Linked DNA regions of Drosophila melanogaster. The protein of the gene in region 1 interacts with the protein of each later gene in a pairwise test. Each region holds a gene or a part of one and is shown in the gene's direction. Other genes may lie near its edges.

Region 1 (8,885 bases):
CTCCCGACAGTTAGCTGCAGTTTATGAATGAATCCGAGGTCTCGTTTTCGCTCACTGCGATCGCTTCTAACTGTCTGCTTTGTGGATTTCCACTCGCAGTTTTGGCCAAGCCATTAGTGGTGCCCGACCTGGTCCAAAGGTCTCAGCCAAATGGCCGGGCAAAAGAGTGTGCGATCGAATCCATCCATATACCACCAACAACTAAGTAATCATCAATTATCACCGCCGTCGTCGTCGTCGTCGTCGTTCGCATTCATTCATATTCGGTCGGATGTGGTCGATCTGGTCAATCAATTTGGCTTTAACCCCGGACTCTATCTCTGTTTCTAGCCCTGGCTCTGGGGTCTCGGGTCTGCAGCCCAAGGGCTAGGAAGGCGATGGCGAACAGGTAGAGATTGTTGGTTCAACAGCTGGAAATCGCTTTCTCACACATCGATCCGCTGGCGGACTGACAAATTGCATTCCCCGGATTAATGATCGCCTAAATGGCGTTTAATTAATCGATCTGCTGACCCCTCTCGCCCGCCAAACTGTGTTGAAACTGTAAATTGCCGCTTAATTATATGTAATTATATTCGCATTTTTTATATGAGCACGGGGTGGCCAGGCAGCTCAAACTGGATCTGATCTACATTCGCAGGGGAATTAATTTATGCACTCAATTAATTAGCCATTAATTGTCCGTGTGCTGTTATACTGGTTGCTAAACATAAGTTTTTCAGATTAGGAATGGATTGGTATATCACATCATATATACTAGCATCGGTTTACATCTCTTGAGTTCGATATCGCAGGTGACCAAGTCACATAGTTATCCATTCCATAGCCATTGATCCAGCCGCAACACTTAGTCAGCGTATCGAGTTGCCCCGGCTATCGTGGCTGGGTTTTCTATGGAGTTCACACAGCGAGCAGATAAAAAGTAAAAAAGGAGCGGAAGGTGGGGGCATACATACACATATACATATATTTATGTCAAATGTGTAATTCCCAAATCACTTAATACTCATCAACTAATGAGGCCTAAAAGCTTCGGGCGGCGACGGATGTGTTGGACAATAACAACTTCAACTAATATCCATATATGTATCTGTCGGCTTTGTGTGGTTGTTGCTACTTTTGGGCTGCGCGCGGCGGTTTCTCTATCTCATTTATTTATTTTGAAATTGTTGCCAGTACGTATTTCGAATTTTGTGTTCGGGTTCCCATTTCTCTGCCCGCCCTCCGCCGGCTAACGTCTTTTTTTTCGGCTAAAACACAAAATGCAGGAAATGGACGTGTTAACAAATAAACGATGTTCCCCTGTCCAATATTTGCCAATATGTGTATCCATGAATTAAACACAAATTTCACTTACAGGTGAGTACGTTGTTAGAAAATCAAATGGGGCTCAGTTGGCGGCGAAAAATGGAAAGTTCAGAATGAAAAAATTTGCTCCAAACAGGAGTGTTTTCCCTCGAAACAGGAGCTTCTAAGATCGATTTTATATTTCCCTCGAATTCCTAAATATTCCCGATGAATTCATTTGACTGCAACTTCCCTTAGATCGCGCCCAGAAACACCACCACCCCCCCCCCCTCTCCACCCTCCTGCCATTTTGCCCCACGAATTTGACGTCGTCTCATTAGTCACATTTAAAATTGTATTTAATTACTTTCTCACTTCATCATCAGTCAAGTCGGTGGGTCGGACGTCGCCTCGTCATTGGCGTTGCTCTTCTCCTCCTGGGCTGGCTGCCAGGGGGTGTATTCGTAGTCGTAGGGTAGCCTCCCCTACAGACACCCAGATACAGATACATATACATTAACAGATGCAGATACAGATACATGCCGCAGCGTTCGCGGCTTGTTTGTTTCACAGACAAGTCGGCCAAAATTGATATACTCAGCTGCACACAGGAAAATCAGTTCAAAATATAACTTACTTTACACACAAATAAATAATTTGAAGAATAAAAGTCATGAATTTTAATTTGCATCATTTAACTGAGTACCGTAGCGTATTTGTTTGCATGCATAAAAGTACATCCGATTTTCTTTCAGTGTCTGGATCCACTGCCGCTGCTCTTCGGCGGCGCTGCCTTTCATCAATTTCAAATTAGTGAAAATCGAGAAACGGAAATTATTTACTATCTGGATGGGTGGCTGGGTGCGAATGTGGATGTGGCTGTCTGTTGGATGGGTGGCAGCAGCAATCTATCCATCCATCTATCTACCGCCTTGGCCATTACAAGTGCAATTTATCTCGCAAATCATTAATCAACCTACCGTTTGCCTTTCCCTTTCCCCCTCCTTTCCCATCCATTCCCAGCCCACCCAACGCCTACCTTCACCCCCTACTTGGCAATTGTTTTTAGCCCGTTTTTGTGTACTTATTGGCAACAAATTTAAAAGGGCACAAACTTGGCCCCTCCCATTCGATTGGGAAAATCAACAGGACGATTCGGCGAATGAAAAGGGCGGCGCTCTTCAATTGAACCGCGCATAAAACTCGATTGAAAGATACGCCAGTGAGCCAATACAAGTGCGCAAAACTAAACACTAAGCTACAAAAGCTAGAAACAAAAAGGTTGTCATTTATTTAGTATCCAAAAGTCTTATTTACTTCCTAAAACGCGGGTAAACAACTGCACATATTATTAGTAATACATCATTATTAAAGTAACTTACTAAAAATATACATTTTATTCGAAAACAAAAGCACATAAACCTGTTAAATTGCGTTAACAAACGTGCTAGGCAGTGTATCTGCGTTTTCTGCCCACATTCTGCGGATACAGATACACGAGCACACCTCTGCCTCAGGTGTTCGTGTGTGTGTGAGTGTATCGGAATGAGCGAATAAGAAGGCGGCGTATTGCGCACACTCTCACACACACACGAATCGGGCATTGCATAGATTGCGATTACAATTTTAATTTAATTGACCACCTCCCCCACCCCCTCCCCTAACAAACGATGGAACGGCCATCCGATTGGCTGCGAACGAGTTCGGGGAACGAGTGTGAATTGGAACGTGCAATTCCATTCGTTCGATTTGAACGGCCGTTCCGGCAACATTTGGGAATGTTGCAGCAACTTGTTGCTATTGCTGTGAGATGGTGTCGGTGTCTTATTCGCCAGTTTCTTGTTCGCTACTCAGACCGATTTGAACTTTCGAGTGAACGAGACGAGTTCCGTGCGGTCGGATAACGGCTTTTCAAATGGACACATCACTGTAATTAGATAACGTCGCAATGTGGATTAATAACAATCGTGTTCTGTGTGTGTGAGCGTGTGAGCAGTAAAACTCTTGATCCATAATTAAAGTGAGAAGCATAGAAGTCACTAGGAACCAAATCGCACTAAACAACCGCAAGCAATTGCAAACAAACAGAAAGGCATAAATGCAAGTGAACGGTTCTTAAGCGCACTCTCCTGTTTCTGTTTTCCAACCAGAATAAAGTGCAAAGAGGATCGACGATCACAAGTAACGGTTCGCGCTCACAAAAAAAAAAAAGAAATCAAATGCTGGCCGCAAAGTAATGCCATATAGAAGCTAAAAACAACACAACAAAAGTGTGCTGTGCCAATTAAACTTCAGCTAAGGAAATAACATCAAAAGTATCAAAGGTCTGCGCAGGTCTTTGATCAACCGCAACATTCGTTATATTCGTCATATTCGTTATATTCGTGACATTCGAGCAGGGTGATCCAATTCGCCTCAATGCAACTGCGAGTGCACCCTACTATGGACTGTAGCGGTCGTTCAACCAGCAATATTGAACGCGATTCCGATCTGGGGGACGATTTGGTAAGAAAAGGAACTTTGTAACACCCAATATGCACCTCTACAGTAACGCCCGAAGTTATTATTATTATAAAGGATTATTATCTTCTTTGAAAAATTGATGTGACAAGCACTAATCAGCTTGGCATTAAAATAAATGTCATACATTCAAGTAATAAACTTAATTGGCATAATCATTCTCAGTAGAAGTATCCAGGTGAAAAGTATGTCAGTAAGTGCCGCTAAATTACCTCTTTATTATCACATCGTAAAACACTGATATGAAATATACAAATGAATTATGTAAACAAACATGTAGCATTGAAATACAAATAATGAAGAAATATACGGAATTCATGGTTATTGCTAACAATCAGCTACTGATGGAAACTCATTCATTTTCCGATAATAATTCTCAGAAGCATTTCGAAGTATTATTATTATTTTTACCAAATGAAATTTGTCAAGCACAAAAATTAATAAGATAACCCACCTTTCATCTATCCATCATATATGTATGTATAGAATCTGTTTTGTTTTTTTCGCGACCGTCTGGTAATTTGAGTTACTAATGCATCAATATCCATTTGCCACGCGAAAAATAGTATTAAGTCTTGACACTGATGGGCCAAGATACCCTATTCAGTCTAAAAAAAATGAAATACCCATTTGCCGTCGGCACTTAGAGGAAATCCTTACCCAAATGCCCAAAAGCGATCGCTTTTTGGCCATAATGATCTCTTGTTTGGGTAGCAACTTATACTTCAGCTTTGTTTTCTGCTGTCGTGCTCGAAAAGGCAAAGGCAATTCCTGCAACCGACTCACATTGTTTGCAGATGATTCAAAACGTAATTATAATGTTAAAAAAATATGTTTATTCAATCGGGGAATGGGAGATTCAAAACGGAGGGAGCTGGCTCTTTTGGCTTTTTGGCGTTTCAGTTTGCCGGAGAGCCGTTAAAAGGTGACATGCTAAATGGTCGCATACAAGACGATTGTGTTGTAGCGACACACTCACGTCCAGCGCGATATACACTCACACGTTGATCGAGCTAAGTGCATGGCACACTCATAAACACAAATAGATTCATCTGTTTTGGTCCCACAAAACCGAGCGATCGGCGTACCGACATCCCGAGATCGTTCACAATTTCCACCGATTGAAAGAGATCTTTCAATCCAAGCTCTTTGATGGCGTTCATATGTAAATAGATTGTTCAAATATTTGCATTATTTGTTAGTACCTTAAATGAATATTAAATGGGTTTTATTGCCTTTCAGGCCTTTCGGCCATTCGCTTTCAGGTATGCAGCTTCATCTCCATCTCCATCTCCATCTCATCGCGACTTCTTCAATTCAATAAAACTCTTGTTAGTCTTTTCCTGCCCCTTTGTTTTCCTTTCATTTTTATTATTGTTAATAGACATTGCCGGCTCGATCAACAATGAGCCAGACTTTATACACTCACTCACTGGCCGGCCGGTCGGTCTGGCTATTTACATAATAATTTTTAATAGCCTCGCTTTTGGCCAAGAAGCGAAGGCGGCGGAGACGCAATGGGCTGTGCAAACAGCGACTGAATCTCGGCTCTCCAGGCCGGCCTATTCGTCATCCCCCCGGATCGATGCCGATGCGATGTGTGCTCCTTGTGGGCCTGGACTGGTGTTAATTGCGGGTCTCTCAATTGAGGGTCCGCATGTGGGTGCTGTGCTGTCTAATTAACCCCACTGCGATCCGGACCGACATGCTGGTGTCATTCGCACATCCGATCCGCAGTTCTATTCAAATCAAATCCTGCCACCGCCACTCGCCGCTCGCATTTTCAATTTTAGCCCGAAAGTCACGATTAAACAATAATGTGGGCTGTCAAAAAGTCATAAATTCTCGAATGAAACCCAGTCCCAGCGAAGAAGTCGTGCCCAATGGTCCATGGTATATGGTCCAATGCCCAAATGCCCAAATGCCCAATGCCCAGTATCGTCATCCGAGCAGCACTTTAATTACATGGGTTAAACGCAGAGTTTAAAATTATTGCCGAATTGTTGTCTGTAATTTTTGAATCGTTTTTAAATTAAATCAAGCCGGCGAACATGACTCGAGACAATTGGCTTCCGATTCCTCCTCCAGCGCCGGAGCAGCTGGTGGATTCACTCCGAGCGCTGCACGTGCTCCAGGCGCAGTTCCCACATTAAATCATACCGGCCTTGGGTTGGGGGAATCCCCCCAAAAAAAAATCTCAGTGGTGGTTAACTGGTGCCGCTGCTGGTGTTTGCACTGATTCACACTCCGGCTCCGATTCCGATTCGGCCAGCGTCGTTTTCCACATTTATTTATGACCGCTTCAGTGCGCCAAGCCAGAAATTTTGGAAGAGTTGTAAACTTAATTGCATCTTAGTTCCATGGGAATGCAGCTCAAGCGCAGCTCAAAGGTCTGGCATTTACAAATAAATAAGTACAGTAAGAACCCTATGATTTGTATCAAATGAATATTGCATTACATTTACGCTTACTACCGAAACGAGTTAACTGTTTCACACTTGGCTAACTGGCGGGCTAACTGGCTGATGGGGTTGGCTTACACCGCATTGGGGTGCCTGTCCCCTTTTCCCTGCGCCACTGGAAGCAGAAATCATTTGGGTCGGTCGGAAGCGGCACCTGTTATAATTTGTTTGGCTTCTTGTACGCTGACAGCCAACGATTTTTATTAAATTCTTTGTGGGGGCTACGCTCCTCTTCTCCCCCCCCCCCCTCCATCCTCTTCTTCTTGCATAACCAGAAGTCAGGGGAAATATTTGATTAAGTATCTGGTGGGGCCTTTGGGGGATAGGATGGCATGGCATGGAATGAAATGGAATGGAATGGGTTGATTTTCGGTGGCGCTTTCCACCGCAATGACAAGCGAAATTTGTTTTGCTTTTAGTTTGCGCGCCAAGGGGGCGCGAACTTGAAACTGGCCAAATGGAGGAGGGGATTTGTCATTTGGATATATGTATGTATATTGGGGGGAAAAAATTTAATTAACTACTAATGCAGTTGGCGGCACTCAAAAGTGCATGGCGACAAATGTCAGAACGGCACAAAACGCCAATGAAAACAGGGCCGTAAAAGCAGAAAGAGCTCGTAAAAAATATGATTATTATTGGCAGTATTACAGTTTGCGCTTTTCGTATTGTTTTTAATGAATTTATGAATTATTTTGCCAACCATAGCTAATAAAACTGTTAATTGGATTTTTCCAGTACAGCTGCCGATTGCGAAAAGCGCCACGAAAAACGATCGCGAATCGCAAAACAAAATGCGAATTTGCGAGGGCACGAACCGAGTATCTGTGTGTATTCCTCTCTGTTGGTGTGTGTGTGTGCGTGTGTGTGTGTGTGCTCGGGGGCCTGGATAAAAAGTGTATTTATCATCGCGCTAATAAAACCCTGCCCTCTCGCTTGCACCGCACATATCGCCCTCCCTTTCGCCGAATACAAACAGAAATGGGCGTGCCAATTGGCCAACGAGAAAATCGCGTGAGCGCCAACAAATTGAATAATCGAGCTGGCAAACAGCAAATCTTAATTTGGCATTTGGCACTGAAAAACACATCCTTGTTTGATGTTCGATGTTTGCCTGTTTTCCTCACTTTGCACCTGCCACAATTGACTAGCCCTGCCACAATTTTCGTATAAAGAAGCCAAGCAATTGCAAGTGAAATTCATACGTAATTATTATCGATTCGTAAGCGATGTGTTTTTTTTTTTTGGGGAATTAAGCAAAGTACACCCATTAAAATTGGGGTATTAAGCATTTAGGCAATAAGTATCTGAAAAGAGCTTCTGCCATATTAGCCAAGTAGTGTAGTAGCTATTTGTGTGTGCTTGCTGGCAACATTTCCTGATTAACAATGGTGGAAAGTGCGGTCTTAGGAACTTTCCTCATGTGGCGACACCCAGTCATAAAACACAGATATATTTCGGGCAGGCGACTGTAACAAGCCCTGCGCCACTCGCATCCAATAAAGTGGGCTCTTTTGCCGTCCAGACGGCCAACAATACCTCCAGAGACCAGGAGACCACGAGACCCAGCGACCAGGCCAAGAGACCAAGGCAGGCGGACTTGCGGGCTGGCCAAGGCAATAAAATAATGCAGTTTTTAATTATTGCCGCCTGCAATCGAAGCTAGACGCAGTGAATCCACCCCGCAGCCGGATGGGCACAAGGAGTCGGGTCGCAAGCGCTGGAGCTTCGGGAAGTGCGACTCTCGCAGTTGGCCGGCCAGCCAGACAGCAGGGGCGTAGTTTGAGCCATGTTTGGATCCATTATGATTCGTTTATTGGTTTTTGGCAAGAGTGTAATTTAAATTAGCTAATACGTTTTCTATTTTCTGCATTGTTTTTACGATATGCTGTTTCCGAAACCAAAGAAAAGAAGAGCGAGTATCTTGTACATAGTCTCTTTGTATGCTCCGCTTTCTAGCGCCCTTTGTGATTGAAAGACCGACTACGCCCCTGGCGAACGTAGAACCCAGCCCAACTATTGCCGTTTAACCGTTGCGTTCCTTTTTTTTAACCGGTTTTGTTTTTTTTTTTTTTTTTGTATTTGTATCTTTTATTGTTTACGCGAAACTTTTCGTCTGCCCGCCGCGCTCGTTTTACATGGGCGTGCGTGCTAAAAAAAAGGGTTAAGGGGGTTGGCTTGAGGGGGGGGGGTGGTGGTTGAGGTGGAGGAGGCCTGTACTCTGTACAGCCAACGCCATTATGTTTTGCCATTGTATATGCGTGTGTGTGTGTGTGTGTGTGTGTTTGTTGGCCCGCTTTTGTTGTTTCCATTTTTATATTTTATTCGCCTTATTTTTTCCGCTTCGACGCTTGGCGAGCGAATGAAATCGCGTTTGTACGCACACACACACACACGCGACCATTAAGAGCGCGCATCTGTGTGCGTACGTGTATCTGTATCTTTCAGATACGTTTTGCATTTTAATTTTATTTCCATGCTCTCGTTGCCCGAACGCAGACCACGTTGCACATGTTTCGTCCCTTTTTACACAAATTTATTTTTCGCCTTTTTCCATCTCCTCAGTTTTTAGCCGCTGGCTTGCAATTTCTTTTCGCTTTCGAATATTCCGCTGCA
Region 2 (7,379 bases), on another chromosome or scaffold:
TGGAATGGCCTGACCAATAGTAATCTGTTCAAAAGGTTCCTCAGCTTTGGCGGTGCGGGTCTCGCCGGCGGCTCAAGCGGCGGTGCAGGAGGTTCGCCCAGTGGCAATGCTCTGGGAGCCGGCGGCTCCGGCAACTTCCTGCTGGATGTGGTGAGGGTAAGTACCACACCCGTTGGCTGAACTTTCAACCGTTATCCAGACATCTAATTGGTATACTTTACTTCCACGAACAAACAAACAGCTCTTTTCGGGCAGTGTTCAGACCCAGCAGGGCGATGAGGCGGCCAACTCGGTGGGCGGCAGTGCCGGCAGCAGCAGTAGCAGCGGCAGTTTGGGCGGCGATGGTGACGCCGATGGCGATAGCACTCGCAACGCCGATGGCTACACCGAGGGCATTCCCGGCCCAGTCACGCGCCTCGTGGTGCTGGCCAATCGCGGTCTGGCCAATCTCGTCCAGGATTTGATTCTGGTGAGTAACAGTAACTAGGGTTTTATGTGCTATTAATCTAACGAAATCTATGTTACCTACCCGTTTGCAGCGCGTTGCGGCCACCAGCGAGAAGTTCGTGAACTTCAAGGCCAAGCTGATAACGGCGCTGATCTAAGGTCAAGGGTCAGCACCGGCCACGCCCTCGCCCGAATTAGTCAAGTCACCAACCTGTACAGAGTCAAATGCAGCAGATCATTCTCTCTAACTCGCTAGCCCCAAACGCCCCGAAAGTCTGTCTCTATCTCCCTCTGTCTCACCCCAGAAATAACCCCCTTTCCAATGCCCCACACACCCACTCACAACAACCCCACACACACACACACACACACAAACACGGCCACTCATTCACACGGAGAGAATTTTGTTCGATCAAAGAAATTTCCCGGCAATGTCAACATCTTTTTTTTAAATTCATAGCAAATTTTTTTATAACATAAACGAAATTAGTTAAAACAAACTAAACACAAAAAAAAAATTATAAAACCATAAGCAAAATTGGCAGAAAAAAAAACACGAATCAAAGAATTTTATTTATATGTATCAATAAAAGAAACAAAATCGAATCGAAAGTATGGAAACAACATTCATATGAATATGTTTAGAAGAAGAAACGCCTGATACAATTATTCCTGCCCTAGTACTATATCTCTATTTTCCCTGACCCGTCTATCCATATCTTTAAAATTTTCAACGGCTTTTGTAAATATTTTGCTATTTGCAAATTTTCCCCCACCACTTTTCCTAAACCCAATTTCCCTAATTTGTAATTGACCTCTTCTCTCCTTTTTGTGTATATTTTGTGTTCTATTAAAAAAAATCATGACTGTGGTGTTTTATTTACTATTATTTTTAATTATTTTAAACGAAAACGAAACGAAGAAGATGAATGTGAAGATAATGATGATGATGATGATGATGAAGAAGAAAGCTAAGTGGATGCAGAAGACACGTCAAGTTTCTATTAGATGAAATGTAGCCGAGCTTAATGTTTTTTTTTATTTGCTGTTGTTGGTCAAAGAGCCCCAAAAACACCCATACACAAACACGCACATTCACTGAAGCATACTCAATATATAAAACCGATTCGATATGCCTATTATATATATAGAACCGTTCTTGTTCGACTTCCCTGTGTCCCCTGGATTTGTTTGTAACTCCCCATAATCCTAAGCGAATTGTGTTTTTCTAACTATGATTTTTTTCTAGCTAGCTAAGTGAAACTTTCGAAAAATGTGTATAAAATAAAATAAAATGATTATAAATATTTCATATTCTGTGTATTCCATCTTTTAAAAAGGGGAAAATGTTCATTTATAGACTGAAGTATTCTAAAATATATTTGCAATGGTCGGCATAGAATGAGTTAAAGTGGGTTAAAACTAAAGGAATTGCCAATTTGAACGGGTAATTATCAAGGCTAGCCATTCCTACCACTTTTTTGGCGGATTTAGGGAAATTGAGTTTCGAGTTAATTTTCATCAAAATTTGTAAAAAATGGCCAAAAAATAGAATTTTTATTTGTGGATACAGTTCGATTGGGAATTTAAATACGATCACAACGGTGTATGGCATTCCATATTCAGACAATTATTTTTAAAGTTGTGGCAAAAAAACTGATTATTTGAATGAACGAAATTCGGAAAAACGGATTTTGCCAAAAAGTTAATATTTACAAACGGAATTTTCGTCATAACTTGGCTGAAAATAGTCATATAGATAAAAGAATAACTGTTTTGAGCAGCAATTACCAGTGCTAACGATCCCTATCAATTTTTGAAGAATTTAGGAAAATTAATTTTTGGGCATATTTTCTCATTTTTTATAATCGTCAAAATTTGCAAAAAATCGGAAAAAAATTGAATTTTTATTTTTGAACACAGTTTGATTGGGAATTTAAATACGAGCAGAATGAGATATGGCATTCCATATTCACACAATTATTTTTAAAGTTGTTGCAGAAAAACTGATTATTTGATGACGGAAATTGGACAATTCCTAAAATTCGATGTTTGCGAAGCGGATTTTCTTCATAACTTGGCTAAAAATGATCGTAGAGATAAAAGAATAACTGTTTTGAGCAGCTTATTACCAATGCTAAACATTCCTATCCCTTTTTGACGGATTTAGGAAAATTAATTTTTGGGTAAATTTTCGCACTTTTTGTAAGGGGTAACATCATCAAAATTTGCAAAAAATCTGAAAAAAATTGAATTTCCATTTGTGAATACAGTTCGATGGGGAATTTAAATACGAGCACAACGGTATATGACATTCCATATTCAGACACTTATTTTTAAGGTTGTAGCAAAAAAACTGATTATTTGAAGACCAAAATTCGGAAAAACGGATTTTGCCAAGAAGTTGATAATTACAAACGGAATTTTCATCATAACTTGGCTAAAAATGCTCATATAGATGTAAAAACAACTGTTTTGAGCAGCTAATTCCCAGTGCTTATGATCCCTATCAGTTTTTGAAGAATTTAGAAAAATTAATTTTTTGGTCAATTTTTGCATTTTTTGTAAGGGGTAACATCATCAAAACTTGCAAAAAATTGCCAAAAAATAAAGTTTTCATTTTTGAACACAGATCGATTGCAAATTTAGTTACGATTTCGGCGAGGTATGACATTCGCTATTTGGACAAATATTTTTTAAGCTGTGCCCAAAATACTAAATATATTACAGTTTGCATGGGAATTTAATTACGAGCTTAGAAAGGTATAGCATTCCATATTTGTTTATTTATTTGTTTATTTTCAATGTTTTGTACGAAATCCGATTTCTTGAACTTTTTGTTTGAAAATACGCAAAGAATGCATTTGATTAGGTGAATAAATTTAATAATATCGTTGGCAAGCCATCCATATTTTACGTTCAATTAATTATACTACACTATGATGGCCAAGTATTTTAAAATTAAAAATTAATGTGAGAAATGTTTTTGGGCAATTAAGAAACGTTTGCAAATATTTGTACAATTTCGCAGTGAGTTGCTTCGTTGCACACCCTCTCGATTTTCTCGAATCTGGTTTATAAATATCTGGATTATCCATCTCGGCACATTCCATACAAAACTGCGTTGCTTGAGTGAGCAAATGAATAAGTGACTGAATGACTGACTGACTGACTGACTGACTGACTAACTGAATGACTTACTGTAACGCATGCGTGGCATGTGTGCGGTCCAGAAAAACCAAAAACAAAAATAAAATAAAATAAAAGTAGCGGGGGAGGGGAAGGTCAGGGTCTAAGTGCCACTTCCGTTTTCCACAAGCAAACAAACAAATTGGCCCAACAAATCGCCGATGGACAAATGGGGATGGATATATAGATGTTACTTATCCTTGGTACGCCAGCCACTTGATGCACAATTAGTATCGCACAAGTGCCCGGCATTCTTCACTTTTTGTTTTGACAAGTGCACACATTTAGCGAAGAAAACGCACTCGTTATTGTTTCCCATCTTCACGCACAATTTGTCGTCACTAGCCGATGACTTAATTCATTTAGCAGATCCCAAATATGCAGCCGGGGCATATAGAAGTGGATATAGTCATGGGCTCGGCCATAGAGTCCGTTCAGTTGCTCGCCAATCGCCGCTGCTAACGGATGGCGGTCTCATCGTCCTCGTCGTCGTTTTCCAACTACTTGATGGCGGTATTTGCCCAGGATAGCAATAGTAGTGGCAGTGCCAGCGGAAGTGGAGCAGCCGCCGACTCGGAGGACTCCCAGATTGGCCAGGAGGCCAATCCAGGTGGCCAGGAGAATCAGGGAAATCACAGGAGGCGACCGCCGCGCCAGAAGATCAATGCTAGAGAGCGCTATCGGACATTTAAGTGAGTAAAAAGTATATAAATGTTAATAAGCAAAACATAGCCCTAGTTGAAAGTGTATTTATTAACAATTAACCATTTAATATTTTCTTTTTTTCCTAAACAAAATCAGTGTTAATTCGGCCTACGAGGCATTAAGAAATTTAATACCCACGGAGCCCATGAATCGCAAGCTTTCAAAGATCGAGATCATCCGCCTGGCCAGCAGCTATATAACGCACCTAAGTAGCACCCTAGAAACAGGTTTGCTTAAAAAACGTTATTCATATAAAAGTATACTAATTTGTTTAAATTTTTAAGGCACTGAATGCCAGCCATGTTTGCTGCACAAATACGAGAGCGAAGGAATAACTAGACGTATCAGTATCTGCACCTTTTGCCTGAAAACCAAATGAAATTAATTATTTATTGGATATTTCTAAGAATATTTATATAATTCGTCGTATCTGTTGCATTTAGGAAATCGAATTGGGCGCCCAATTGAAGCGCCACCTATGGTAATTTTCTGGAACGAACTTCCACCGAATGTGAACTGCTTGCCACAACACAACTGCTTTACTAAGCTGTTGTAGTTCTTCAACATTTCGATCTCTTGTGTAGGATAAAAATAAATTAAAATTAAATTAAATTAACTATAATATTGAAATCTATTTAAAAATTGGTGGTGATAAGAATTCAAAATCAACACGAGCAATTTAATATATGTCGCTAAATTGTCGCCATCTGTGCGGATGTTTTCCACAACTGCGCCACCTGTACTTCGTTAAGATGACTAAAATTAGTAGCTAGATCTGAAGTATCAAATATATACATATAAAAAGAAAACAAAAAGTAAGCAGAAGGCAGCTTAAGCAATTTTATATATTAAATAATTGTTTGATACACATTACTTCATTTTCTAACAACTGTTAGTGATAGAAGGAGATTTTAGTTTAAAACACGCGGTAATTTTTAAATAGCTACAAGCTAGCTAAATAGCAACGAGGCGCCGGTGTGTTCATAAGTATTTTACCACACGCAGAAAACAGTCACTCTGTTCCCGCCAAATCATTTGTACGCATAACTGAAATAAAGTAAATAATTTGATTTAACAATAACAAATAGCCCCTTCGATGGCCACCAAACGCGTGCTGACGCCTAATATTTTGGAGAATGATAACACTGACGTGACGTCATCCAATCCACAAAAGAAATTCAAAGAGCAACTGGATTTTTCGTCAGACGAAGTGGAGAACATTGATTGGGGTGACAATGATGACTTCGATTTGGCGCTGATTGCAGCTATGGATTCTATATCCAATCATCGATTGGAGCTCACCAAGTGGCAGCGTTGCGAAGTGGTGCGGCTGGAGCAGCTCCCCAATAGAAAAGGCCTTAAAGTGCATGTTAAGAGGATTTCTGGCGGGGATCCGGAGACAGCTGATTGCCAACTGCTACCGCCGTGGAATTGCATGCCAATGCAAGTTGGAGACACTGTCTCCCTGTTGGGCAAGTGGGATCCGTCTGCAGGATGCTATGTGGTCGATAAGGAGCAGGGCTACTGCGTGTCCCATCCGGATTTCCTCATTTCCGGCACCACAGTCACCGGTTCCCTGTTTTGCAAACGGAAATCTGTTCTGCAGGAACGATTTCGCGGTCTGGACTCGGGAAACTCTGTTGTGAGTACATCTCGATATCAGCATAACCCAATTTATCCAGAATGTATTCCATTTCAGATGGTCATTGGCACTCTGGTGCACGAATTGCTGCAAAAGGTTCTACGCCAGAAGCTCTTCGATAAAAAACACATTCAATCTGCCCTCCAGGAGATGCTGGCCAGCTCTTCTTTGGCTCATTTACTCTATGCCAGCAATCTCATCCAGGTGGAAATGGAGGATCATCTGATGAAATTCATTGATCCCATTGTCAGTTTTGTGGCCCAATATGTGAAGGGTGAACCGCCAAGTGTTTTGCTGCCCGAAGTCTATAGAGGTCAAATCCACGAGATATGCGATATAGAGGAGAACCTCTGGGTTCCACAACTGGGACTCAAGGGTAAGGTGGATGTCTCCGTAAAGGTAAAAAATCAACGGCAGAGGGAGGAGATCATACCACTGGAACTGAAGACCGGCCGAGCCAGCTTCTCCATGGAACACAAGGGCCAATTGCTGCTCTACCAACTGATGCACTCTGCCCAGGGCAGGGATACTCAATCGGGATTGCTTCTGTACCTCAAAGAGGGACTCCTACGAGAAGTTGCTAGCGGGAGAAACGAACAGAGGGATCTCCTTATGTTAAGAAATGATCTGGCCTACTGGCTAACACGTGAAGTAGCCATTCCGGCTAGCAAGGAGGATCCACTGGAGCAACTGCCGCTACCCGAACCCGTTTACCATCACAGCGCCTGCGGCAATTGTGCCTACAATACCATTTGCTCCAGTTTCGCCCAGAAGGATTCAAGTTTACAGCTAAGCGACTCACATCCCCTCAAGAAACTCATGCCACAGCTATTGGAGCATCTAAGTGAGGCAGACCATGCCTACGTGCAGCATTGGTGTGGTTTGCTGGCTCTAGAAGAGCAACACAATCGGCAGTCCTCGCATGTGAGGTCTTTTTGGACGAAGGACCCTGCGGAGAGAGAAAAAGAAGGCATAGCCATTCGACATTTGAAGCTAGTGAAGGGTCAAGAAGTGATATTAGAAGAGGGACGCTATCGCCAGACCTTGGAGCTCGGTGAAGAGGCAGATCCCAGTCGAGATCTCAGCCTCAGTGGGGTATGTTTTGCCACAAAATCCACAGATCACTATATTCTTATCTCAACTCTTTCTTTCAGTTCGACTTGGGCGAATATGTTGTAATCAGTTCCACATCCCGTTTGGCCGTTGCTGCTGGTTTTATTGTATCTATAGAAGCTCGTCGTTTGGATCTTCGGCTGGAGAGGGATCTTAGCCAGCGTTATAGCGAGGAGACCTTTATTATTGATAAGCACGATTCGCAGTCCTTTGCCACTTTTAACTTTACCAATCTTGGTATGCTGCTCTCCGAGGGAGAACGCTTCCAGGAGCTGAGAGATAT
Region 3 (8,542 bases), 2.6 Mb from region 1:
TAAGTAATCGCTTCCGGAATTGTTCCACTTGTTCGGGGACACTCCAACCTGGTTCCAGGCGGCGCTTTCCGGACTCCAGTTCGTCCTGGTACTGAATTGCTTTCGACTCAATGTCTCTTAACTTCTGACGCATCTCGTCGGTGTACTTTTGCGGATTGTCTTCTCCACTGTCGTCGTCCGAGCTAAAGAACTTCGGTGGATCTGGCGGATCGAGAGTGTCCCATTTGCTGGTGGTAATCGCCTGCGCTTCTACTTGCTGGGGATCAACTGTCTCCCACTTTGAGGGTATGAAGCCAGGCAACTTAGCCGTAGATTTGGTTTCTTTTTCCAACGGTACACCGTCGAGATCATCATCCACTGGAATTAAGGATTATTTACTTAGTAGTAAGAAGGTTTAAATCACTTTCTTATGCTTACATGGTATGCCATCGATTTCATCGAGGTATTCATCTTTCTTAGGTGTGTCACGCTTTGGAGTACCAGCATCTGCATCAGGTATGGCTCGCTTCAAGGCGCTCTTAAGCAAAGCAGCTCCATCTAGTGGCACTCCGTCTAGATCCTCGTCGTCCTTTTCCTCTCCGGAAAGGGGCGCACCGTCGATATCTTCGTCCAGAGCCTCATCAAATCGCGTTTCCTCGGCTTGAGGTGAGTTATTGACTGGCTTGACGTACTAAACACAAGATTCCATTAGACTACATGCACAATTTGAAATGAATTTCATTAACTAACAGGTTTGCCCAAGAATTTGGCCGTCAGCTGGGCCATAAAATCCTTGGGATAAATGGTCCATTCCTCCCATGTGCGGATAACATTGCAGACTCTGGATTTAAAGCCCTCAGCTTTCAATCTACTCTCGATGTTCAAGTAGTAGTTATGCAGGTTATCAAAGATGTCCAACAATTGTTTTTCCACACTAAATAATAGGGGATATTTCAATGTGTATGCTTTGATAAACATATATACATACGATTTACGGAAGAACGAAGCATTCGCAACTTTAACAGTGCAGTTGTGCAGTATATCTGAGATCAGATAAAGTCGAGCAATCTTCTTTGAAGCCAATGTATTGATATTTGACAGAGACTCGGCGATGCACTCGCAGATTTCATCAGCCGCATCTGCGTGCTCAATGCAGAAGATCATGGCATCTCCAATGCGGGCGCGTTCAGGAGTTAAGTGCCTAATCAAATCCTCGAGTCGGTTGCGTTGCCTATTTCAGTATACATTTACAGTACAGTAAACATTTATGTTTCGAGGATTATCTATGCTAAACGTACGCATTGGACAAGGCTCCTTTGTGCACCACAGGAGCATCGGGATCAACAACCAGCTCATCTGGCATGCCTTGAGTGTAGAAGTTGGCAATCGGGGGCTTCCAAACCGGTCCGTTTTTAAACATACGGAATTCCTCCTCCCGCCATTCATTGGGCGTATCGCCCTGTAGCAAAGAGAACAGCTTCCATCGGTAGTAGATGTGGGCAGGACTCTCGTTGTCGAAGAGGAACGCAAAGAGCGGATTCTCCATTTCCCGAATCATGATCAAAGCCTCAAACATCGGTCCCTCGCGTATTACAAACTCGATCATCCGATGGATAACATTAAGAACAGCCCTGGAAAAAAAGAAAAGCACAGTAACGTGAGTTCTTGTTAAGTGAATGTCCTTGGTGCAATTCATACTTCTCTGTGGGTATATGGACTTTAACGACGCATTTGGCAAGTATCTACAAAATTGAACATTTTCATTTTTATTTCTTTAGACGCTAGCAGGTGATTATTCACTTACCCGCTCCATATTCTCTTTGTCCTCTTGGTTGAACTCCTTGTAGTTTTTCTTGGGCAGCACATCAGCTTCACTGGGTGGAGGTTGGGCATTGAAGGGCAATCCTGAAGGAGGCGGAGGCAGGGTCATCTCAAGCAATGCTTGCGGTGTAAAAATGGGCGTATTCATTATGGGCACAGTCTTTCCTGAAATATTAAGTAAGATGTATGAGGAATAAGAACTTCAATATAAGATCTATAGATTACCCCATCCTAGACGCATCTCGTAGCCCATGATGTAGCGCCCGTTCAGTGTCTTTAGGGCCCTTTCCGCATCCTTGCGGCTCATGTAGGCCACAAAGCCGCAATTGCGTCCCCTTTGCTTCTCCTCTTCGGAGCGGGGCCACATGATCTTGATACTGGCCAAGGGACCGTATCGCCCAAAGATTTCCATAAGCTGCTGCTCGGATATCTTGGGGTTCAGGTTGCCCAGGTACAGGTTTGTGGTATTTGGATCGCCCGTGTCAAACGAACCAGACTCCTTTGAGCTGCTTGAGTTCTGGGAGGTGGTGGAGACACTGCTGCTGGGCACAGGAGCAGCTGATGCAGCCGGTTGCTGTGCTGGTGCGGAATGGCTTGAGGCCATGTGCTTGTACTTGTGGCGCTCCTCACGCTCCTCTTGAATCCTGTGGGCATGAAACAATTAGTATGGAATACACACATGCACAACCAAGTGGGCCTACTGTCTCAATTCCTCCTTGAACAGCTCCAAGTTGCTCTTTTTCTTCTCCTGGTTTTTCTTCTTCAATGGACCCGAGTCCTTTTTGAGATCCGAGGCCAGGGTCTTGGCGTAATCCTCGACCTTGTCCGAGGAGCTCTTTTCCATCAGCTTGGAGACCGGCTTGTATAGCTTGCCCTTCTCCGACTTGTCCTCCCGCCGGGATCCTGCATCATAGGTGCCGGCTTTGACCCAAACTTTCGAGGAGGGGGTGGGTGCATCTTGGAAAGTCTCTACGAACTCTTTGAAGGCCTAAAAATCGTATTGGATTATAATGCGTGGAGGAGGGATTTGCTAGAGGCGCCTACATGTGCCGCAGCAGCTGCATCCTCCTTTTTTTTCTGGTCCTCGAGCTCTTTTTTGGACAATTGTCGTTTGGAGAAGGTGCCCACCGTGAAGGCCTCCAACTTCTTTTCGCTTATCCGCTGAAAACAAGACCGAAAAATGTTAGGCTCGTTTTTCCGGCTACACAGGACACCTTTACTTTTAAAGTGGCGGATGCGGCAGCCGAATCCTTGCTTTTATTCCCTTGTTTACTCATCTTTTCCACACAATATGCACATTATCAGCAAATACGAAAATAGGAAAACCAACAATTTGCCAGTGTGACCGACGTCGTACAACCAGTGCACAGAATGAACAGCGAACAAATCACGATGCAGCCGATAGTTGCGATGGGAGTTATCGACAGAGCTATGTAAATGACTACTTTTTATTATAGTTTTATCAAATAAATGCGAAATGGATATCTGCCGCCTCTGTTTACGCGGAGTGAGCGGCGCCCAGATGTGTCTACAGATCTTCGATGTGGACTCGGGCGAGAGCAAGGTGGCGGAGGTGCTGCGCCAACATTTCTGGTTCGAGGTAAGCTGCTGCCCTCCACCCACTTTTGTGCCTGGGAATCTTTTTTTACCACCATCTCGTCTCCGGAACGCGTACAGGTACTGCCCAACGACGAGATATCCAAGGTTATTTGCAACGTCTGCTGGACGCAGGTGTCCGAGTTCCATCAGTTCTACGTGTCCATACAGGAGGCCCAGGTGATATACGCCACCACCTCCAAGTTCAAGCAGGATCCGGAGATGGTGAACACCTCCTGGCCGGAGGAGGTGCTCATGCCGGCCGACGTCCTTGCCGTCGACAACGATGTCGGTGCGCAGATAAATGTGAATCCCCTGGACGAGTTAGACCTTAGCCAACCCATGTCCCCGGAAGACAGCAAGGTGGGCATCAAAACAGAGCGACAGTCACCCGACATGGAACTCCTCTTTGAGGATGCCAACAATGAACAGGATGAGGACTACGAGGACGACGAGGATGATGACACCGACGACCTGATCGTGACCCGGAGTGGACGCAAACGTAAACGGGACGTGGCCAAGCCGGCTAAAACGAAAAGAGGAACGGTGTCGGTGGGCAGAAAGGGGAAGGAGAAGATGGTGGTCAAGCGGGGACCGCCCAAGAGGATATTCAAGATGGAACGCCTGCCGCCGTTTTGCAAAGAGGACGAGGAACTGATCAAGCGCTACATAGTCATGGGCTGCGAGCTGTGCATATTCTTGGCCGAGGACTTCGACGGCATCCGCGAGCACTTCAAGGACAAGCATCCGGACGAGCGGCCCTACATCAAGTGCTGCGGACGCAAGCTCAACAAGCGCTGCCTCATCCAGGAGCATGCGAGGAGGCATGAGAATCCCGAGTACATCAAGTGGGTCTCTCTTACCCAAACCAATTCGAAGCGATTTGATAATTAGCTTTCCTTTCCGACAGATGCAAGGACTGCGGAAAGGTGTTCGCCAATTCCAGCGTATTGCGTGCCCACTGGCTGGTCCACCATGTTCCAGACGAGGAGTGCGACTTCCAGTGCGAGGACTGCGGCAAACGCTTCTCGCGACGCAACCTGCTCGAACTGCACAAGGGCTCCCATGTGCCCGTAAATGAGCGCAAGTTCATCTGCCCGCAGTGCCCCAAACACAATGCGTGAGCCTCGCCAGCTAAACGGCAGTGTTTCCAATGCTTATCGTTCTCCTTTCACACCACAGTTTTGCCACGGAGTACCACATGCAGGTCCATATCAGCATGCAGCACCGCAAGGCGGCCAATATCTGCCATGTGTGCGGCAAGAAGATCAAGGACAAGGCTGTCTTCGAAAAGCACGTTCGCCTGCACTTCGAGGAGAGCGGACCACGGATCAAGTGCCCGCGTCCTGACTGCGAGAGCTGGCTGAAGGACGAGGACAATCTTAAGCAGCATTTGAGGCGCCACAACGACGAGGGCAAGCTGTTTATCTGCTCAGAGTGTGGCAAGAGCTGCAAGAACTCCCGCGCGCTGATTGGTCATAAGCGCTACTCCCACTCGAATGTGATCTACACCTGCGAGCAGTGTGGCAAAACCTTCAAGAAGGACATCAGCCTTAAGGTTGGATAATACATATTACCCTTATTTATTTATGTGTTGTATTAAAGCGATTGATGTTTGCAGGAGCATATGGCGCAGCACACTGGCGAGCCACTCTACAAGTGTCCCTTCTGTCCCCGCACCTTCAACTCCAACGCCAACATGCACTCCCACAAGAAGAAAATGCATCCGGTGGAGTGGGACATCTGGCGAAAGACGAAGACCGGTAGCTCACAGAAGGTCCTGCCCAGCGCCCAAGTGGCGCAAATGTTCCGGGACGATGCCGATGTCGCAGCTATTGCCAATGACTATTCGGGTTAGGCCCGGAAATGCTTAAGGAAATCGATTTGCGGAAACCATTGCTTAGTTTTTGATTGACCTTTGTTTGAAAACAAAATATATGTATAATAGGAATTATTTGAAAGTACGAGCGGTTTGTTGTCATATTGGTGGGATTTTTGGCTATTTACATTTTAATTAAGTTTTTTGAATTTAAATGTTTCATTTAGCTACATTCAGAAATATTGTTTTTGAATTTAAAAAATTTACAGTGTGAATGTCTTGAATTTTTCAATTGGAAAAAAAAGGTATGATGGTTGAAGTATCCGCTTTGTTTATTACAGTAGACTGGTCACACTGCCAGCTGCTAAAATAATAGAAAACAGTCTGCGTGGACAAACATTTAATTAAAATGAATGTAAGCACTTTATTAACGAAATCTTTGGGAATATTTCGCTCATCAGCATTTTATTTGAGCAGGAGTCCGAGATCCCCATCGACATACACACGCTGAAGCTGCAGGACTGGCTGATCAGCCGCAGAATTGTGCCCAAGAATGTGCAGCAGGAGCTTAGGGAGATCCACAGGAAGATTAGCAACGCCCTGCAGGACATGCCCTCCAATGAGCAGCTGATCAAGCTGTTGGCCCGGACAAGTAGGTGCCCAGTGCCCAGAATGCCATCCCACTAATGTGTCCCACTTGCAGATATCAACTACTACCATGTGAAGGAGATCATTGAGATCCTCAAGCAGACGGAGAAGGACACCAAGAGCGTGTTCGGCACCTACGGCAGCCAGCGCATGAAGGACTGGCAAGAGATTAGCCGCCTGTACGAAAAGAATGCCACCTACCTGGCCGAAACGGCTCAGATTTTCGTGCGCAATGTGAACTACGAGATTCCCGGAGTGCGAAAGCAGATGGCCAGGCTGGAGCAGCAGGCGGACGAGACCCAGAAGCGAGCGCACGATCTGAACAAGCCCGAGAGCCAAATCCTGGCCGACCACTCGGCTTTGCTGGAGCAACTGGGCGTCAAGGGCGACAATCTGCATGCCGAGTTCGTCCAGGTTCTATCTGGTCTACCGGAACTATACGATAAGTCGCTGGTGGGCATTGCCAATATTCAGCCGGGCATCGACCTGTATGCGGAGGTCAGCGGCAACAAGCAAGTGCTGCCTATCCTGAACCACCTGGTGGAGTTTGGCAACACCACCGTGTACCAGTACATCCACAAGGAAGCACCCTTGGCCGTCGAGGAGCCGCCCATTCGGCTAAATCTCAGCGAGGGCAACGCCAGCAAGGATGACAATGCTGTGGCCGAGATTGACTTCGGAACGGATGACAACGGCGGAACTTCGTCGACCGTTTCGGCTGAGATTATCGACTACGGGGACTTCGGCAGCGGGGATTTGCCGGAAAGCGACGGCGGCAACATCGACTGGGGCATTGAGAGTGCACCCACCGATGCGGTGGAAATCAATTTTGACATTCCCGTCGAGGAGTACGGCATCGTGGTGGAGGGCACCGGCATGGATGGCGGCACTGCCAAGGGTAAGTTCTTTTATTATACTCGATTTTATGATGGTTAATGGTTTGTTGTTCCAGGCGATCAGGCCTACACTTTGCTGGACTCACCCAACTATCGCGATCGCTTCCTGGACGAAATCTACGAACTGGAATCCTTTCTACGCATGCGTATCTACGAGCTCAAGCAGCTTGAATCCTCCAGCGACATCATGTTCTCGCTGATGGACAACATTGCCACCCACGACGGTGAGAGCATCTGGAAGATACTCGTGTCCGTGGAGAAAATAATCCAGCAGACATCCGACAAGCAGACGCAGCACCTCTTCCAGCTGAAGCACTCCCCAAAGTATGCCAATATGCTGGCCACCAAGCTGCAGCAAATGACAAAGGCCGTGGAGAAGCTGCGCGCCACGCGAGAGGCGCTCAAGCAGTTGACCATCGAGCTGCGGGAGCAGCGGCAGGACCTGAATCCCGTGCTGGAGGAGCTGATTGCTCAGACTCGCACGCTGCAGTCTCACATCGAGAAGGATATATCCAAGCGGTACAAGAACCGGGTGGTTAACTTGATGGGGGGTGTTAACTAATGTAACTTTTTTATGGCTGTTTGTTAAAAATAAACTGGTAAATGGACAAAGATGGTTTTGTAAATTTTTTAAAAGAAGTTTATTTTTATTTTGCTATTTTTATTAAATATACAAATTTTATTTATATTGTGTTCTTTCTTTTAATTGCCATTTTGCTTCTCTCTTTTTTTTTTTTTGTATCCAGAATACAAACCTAATTTTAGTGAAGTTTGTTGATTTCATTTTTCGTTCTCTTTTCTTTTCTTTTCTTACTTTTTTTTTTGTTGCTTTTGTTTTGTTCATAAAAGTATGCTTACACAGTTAACGTTTTAAACTTTCACTTAAATGTAAAATTCTTATGTTGCTGAATTTTAATAATGTGTAAAACAAGAACAACGCTGTGATTAACTTAAATGTTTTGGGGGCCTGTGTCTTGAATATAAGGAAATTCATCGAGATATATTGATTAAACCGGATGTACACATATGTATGTAGATGTACATCTAGAATGGTAGAATGGGGGAGCTTCAATTAAATCGGAAATGCTATAGAGTAGCTATACAAGGTTTGGGTGTAAAAAGCCACAAAATGTCGGGGTATACATTGGGATATCAACTAGACTTAGGCACTAATCTAACAAAAGTGTGGCTGGCGGTAATCAGCAGAAAGGCTTCGTAAGTATAATCAATTCGTTAACTAAATAGAAAATAACAAGCACTATCGAAAATACAATTAATTATACGGGGAAAGAGGCCTCATGATATGGTTACAACTTTGTGTGGTCAAAGCGTCGTGTACTTTTGTTTTCTATCTATCTTTCGTCTCCGTTTGTGATGCGATTTGTTTGCGATTAAAATCAATCATCTCATCTACAACTTGGGCGTCTCTCTCTCGAGCTTTACATAGATATCGTATGTACGGATATACATAATGTTGGATTGTTTTGATTATACATAAACGCACGCGTATTTGTATTTGTGGTTGCTGCTGCGTTGCGTTCATAACTCGTATGGTAAATGTTAAATAAGCATAAGATTTGTTCGAAAGTTGCTTGTGGTTGTGGTCTGTCTGCCATTATTGTATAGTTGCTTAGCCTAATATATATGCTTCATATAATTTATATATGTATATTTATTATTTATACGGTTTAATTTAATTCTTGCTCTTGCCTCGCCTCGCTTAGGTGCTACTATGTATATGTCTGAATTTATTTATGTATACATGCTTCTCTTTATCTGATGT

What was found.
Region 2: the proteins of retn (region 1) and CG33557 interact in a two-hybrid assay, tested with the Drosophila melanogaster proteins (one large-scale study listed by BioGRID).
Region 3: the proteins of retn (region 1) and grau interact in a two-hybrid assay, tested with the Drosophila melanogaster proteins (one large-scale study listed by BioGRID).

What each region holds. Positions count from the first base shown.
Region 1 is NT_033778.4:23,629,473-23,638,357, forward strand, and holds the start of retn (retained), read left to right. Parts: upstream 1-3,137; 5' UTR 3,138-3,705; coding exon 3,706-3,792; intron 3,793-8,885. UniProt on the Drosophila melanogaster protein: Transcription factor which is a downstream target of gcm and repo. Directly or indirectly activates the transcription of locos and pros, which are essential for the development of some glial cells.
Region 2 is NC_004354.4:10,005,134-10,012,512, forward strand, and holds CG33557 (uncharacterized protein), read left to right. Parts: upstream 1-4,076; 5' UTR 4,077-4,101; coding exon 4,102-4,328; intron 4,329-4,437; coding exon 4,438-4,568; intron 4,569-4,625; coding exon 4,626-4,720; 3' UTR 4,721-4,916; downstream 4,917-7,379. Other genes in the region: Dna2 (DNA replication helicase/nuclease 2), read left to right, coding at 5,438-5,983, 6,041-7,078, 7,138-7,379.
Region 3 is NT_033778.4:21,006,581-21,015,122, reverse strand, and holds grau (grauzone), read left to right. Parts: upstream 1-3,201; 5' UTR 3,202-3,277; coding exon 3,278-3,400; intron 3,401-3,477; coding exon 3,478-4,244; intron 4,245-4,306; coding exon 4,307-4,516; intron 4,517-4,578; coding exon 4,579-4,954; intron 4,955-5,017; coding exon 5,018-5,254; 3' UTR 5,255-5,359; downstream 5,360-8,542. Other genes in the region: CG9346 (uncharacterized protein), read right to left, coding at 1-357, 418-670, 730-913, 968-1,210, 1,278-1,610, 1,678-1,721, 1,784-1,965, 2,026-2,444 and 3 more; CG30291 (uncharacterized protein), read left to right, coding at 5,625-5,630, 5,693-5,867, 5,919-6,761, 6,816-7,321.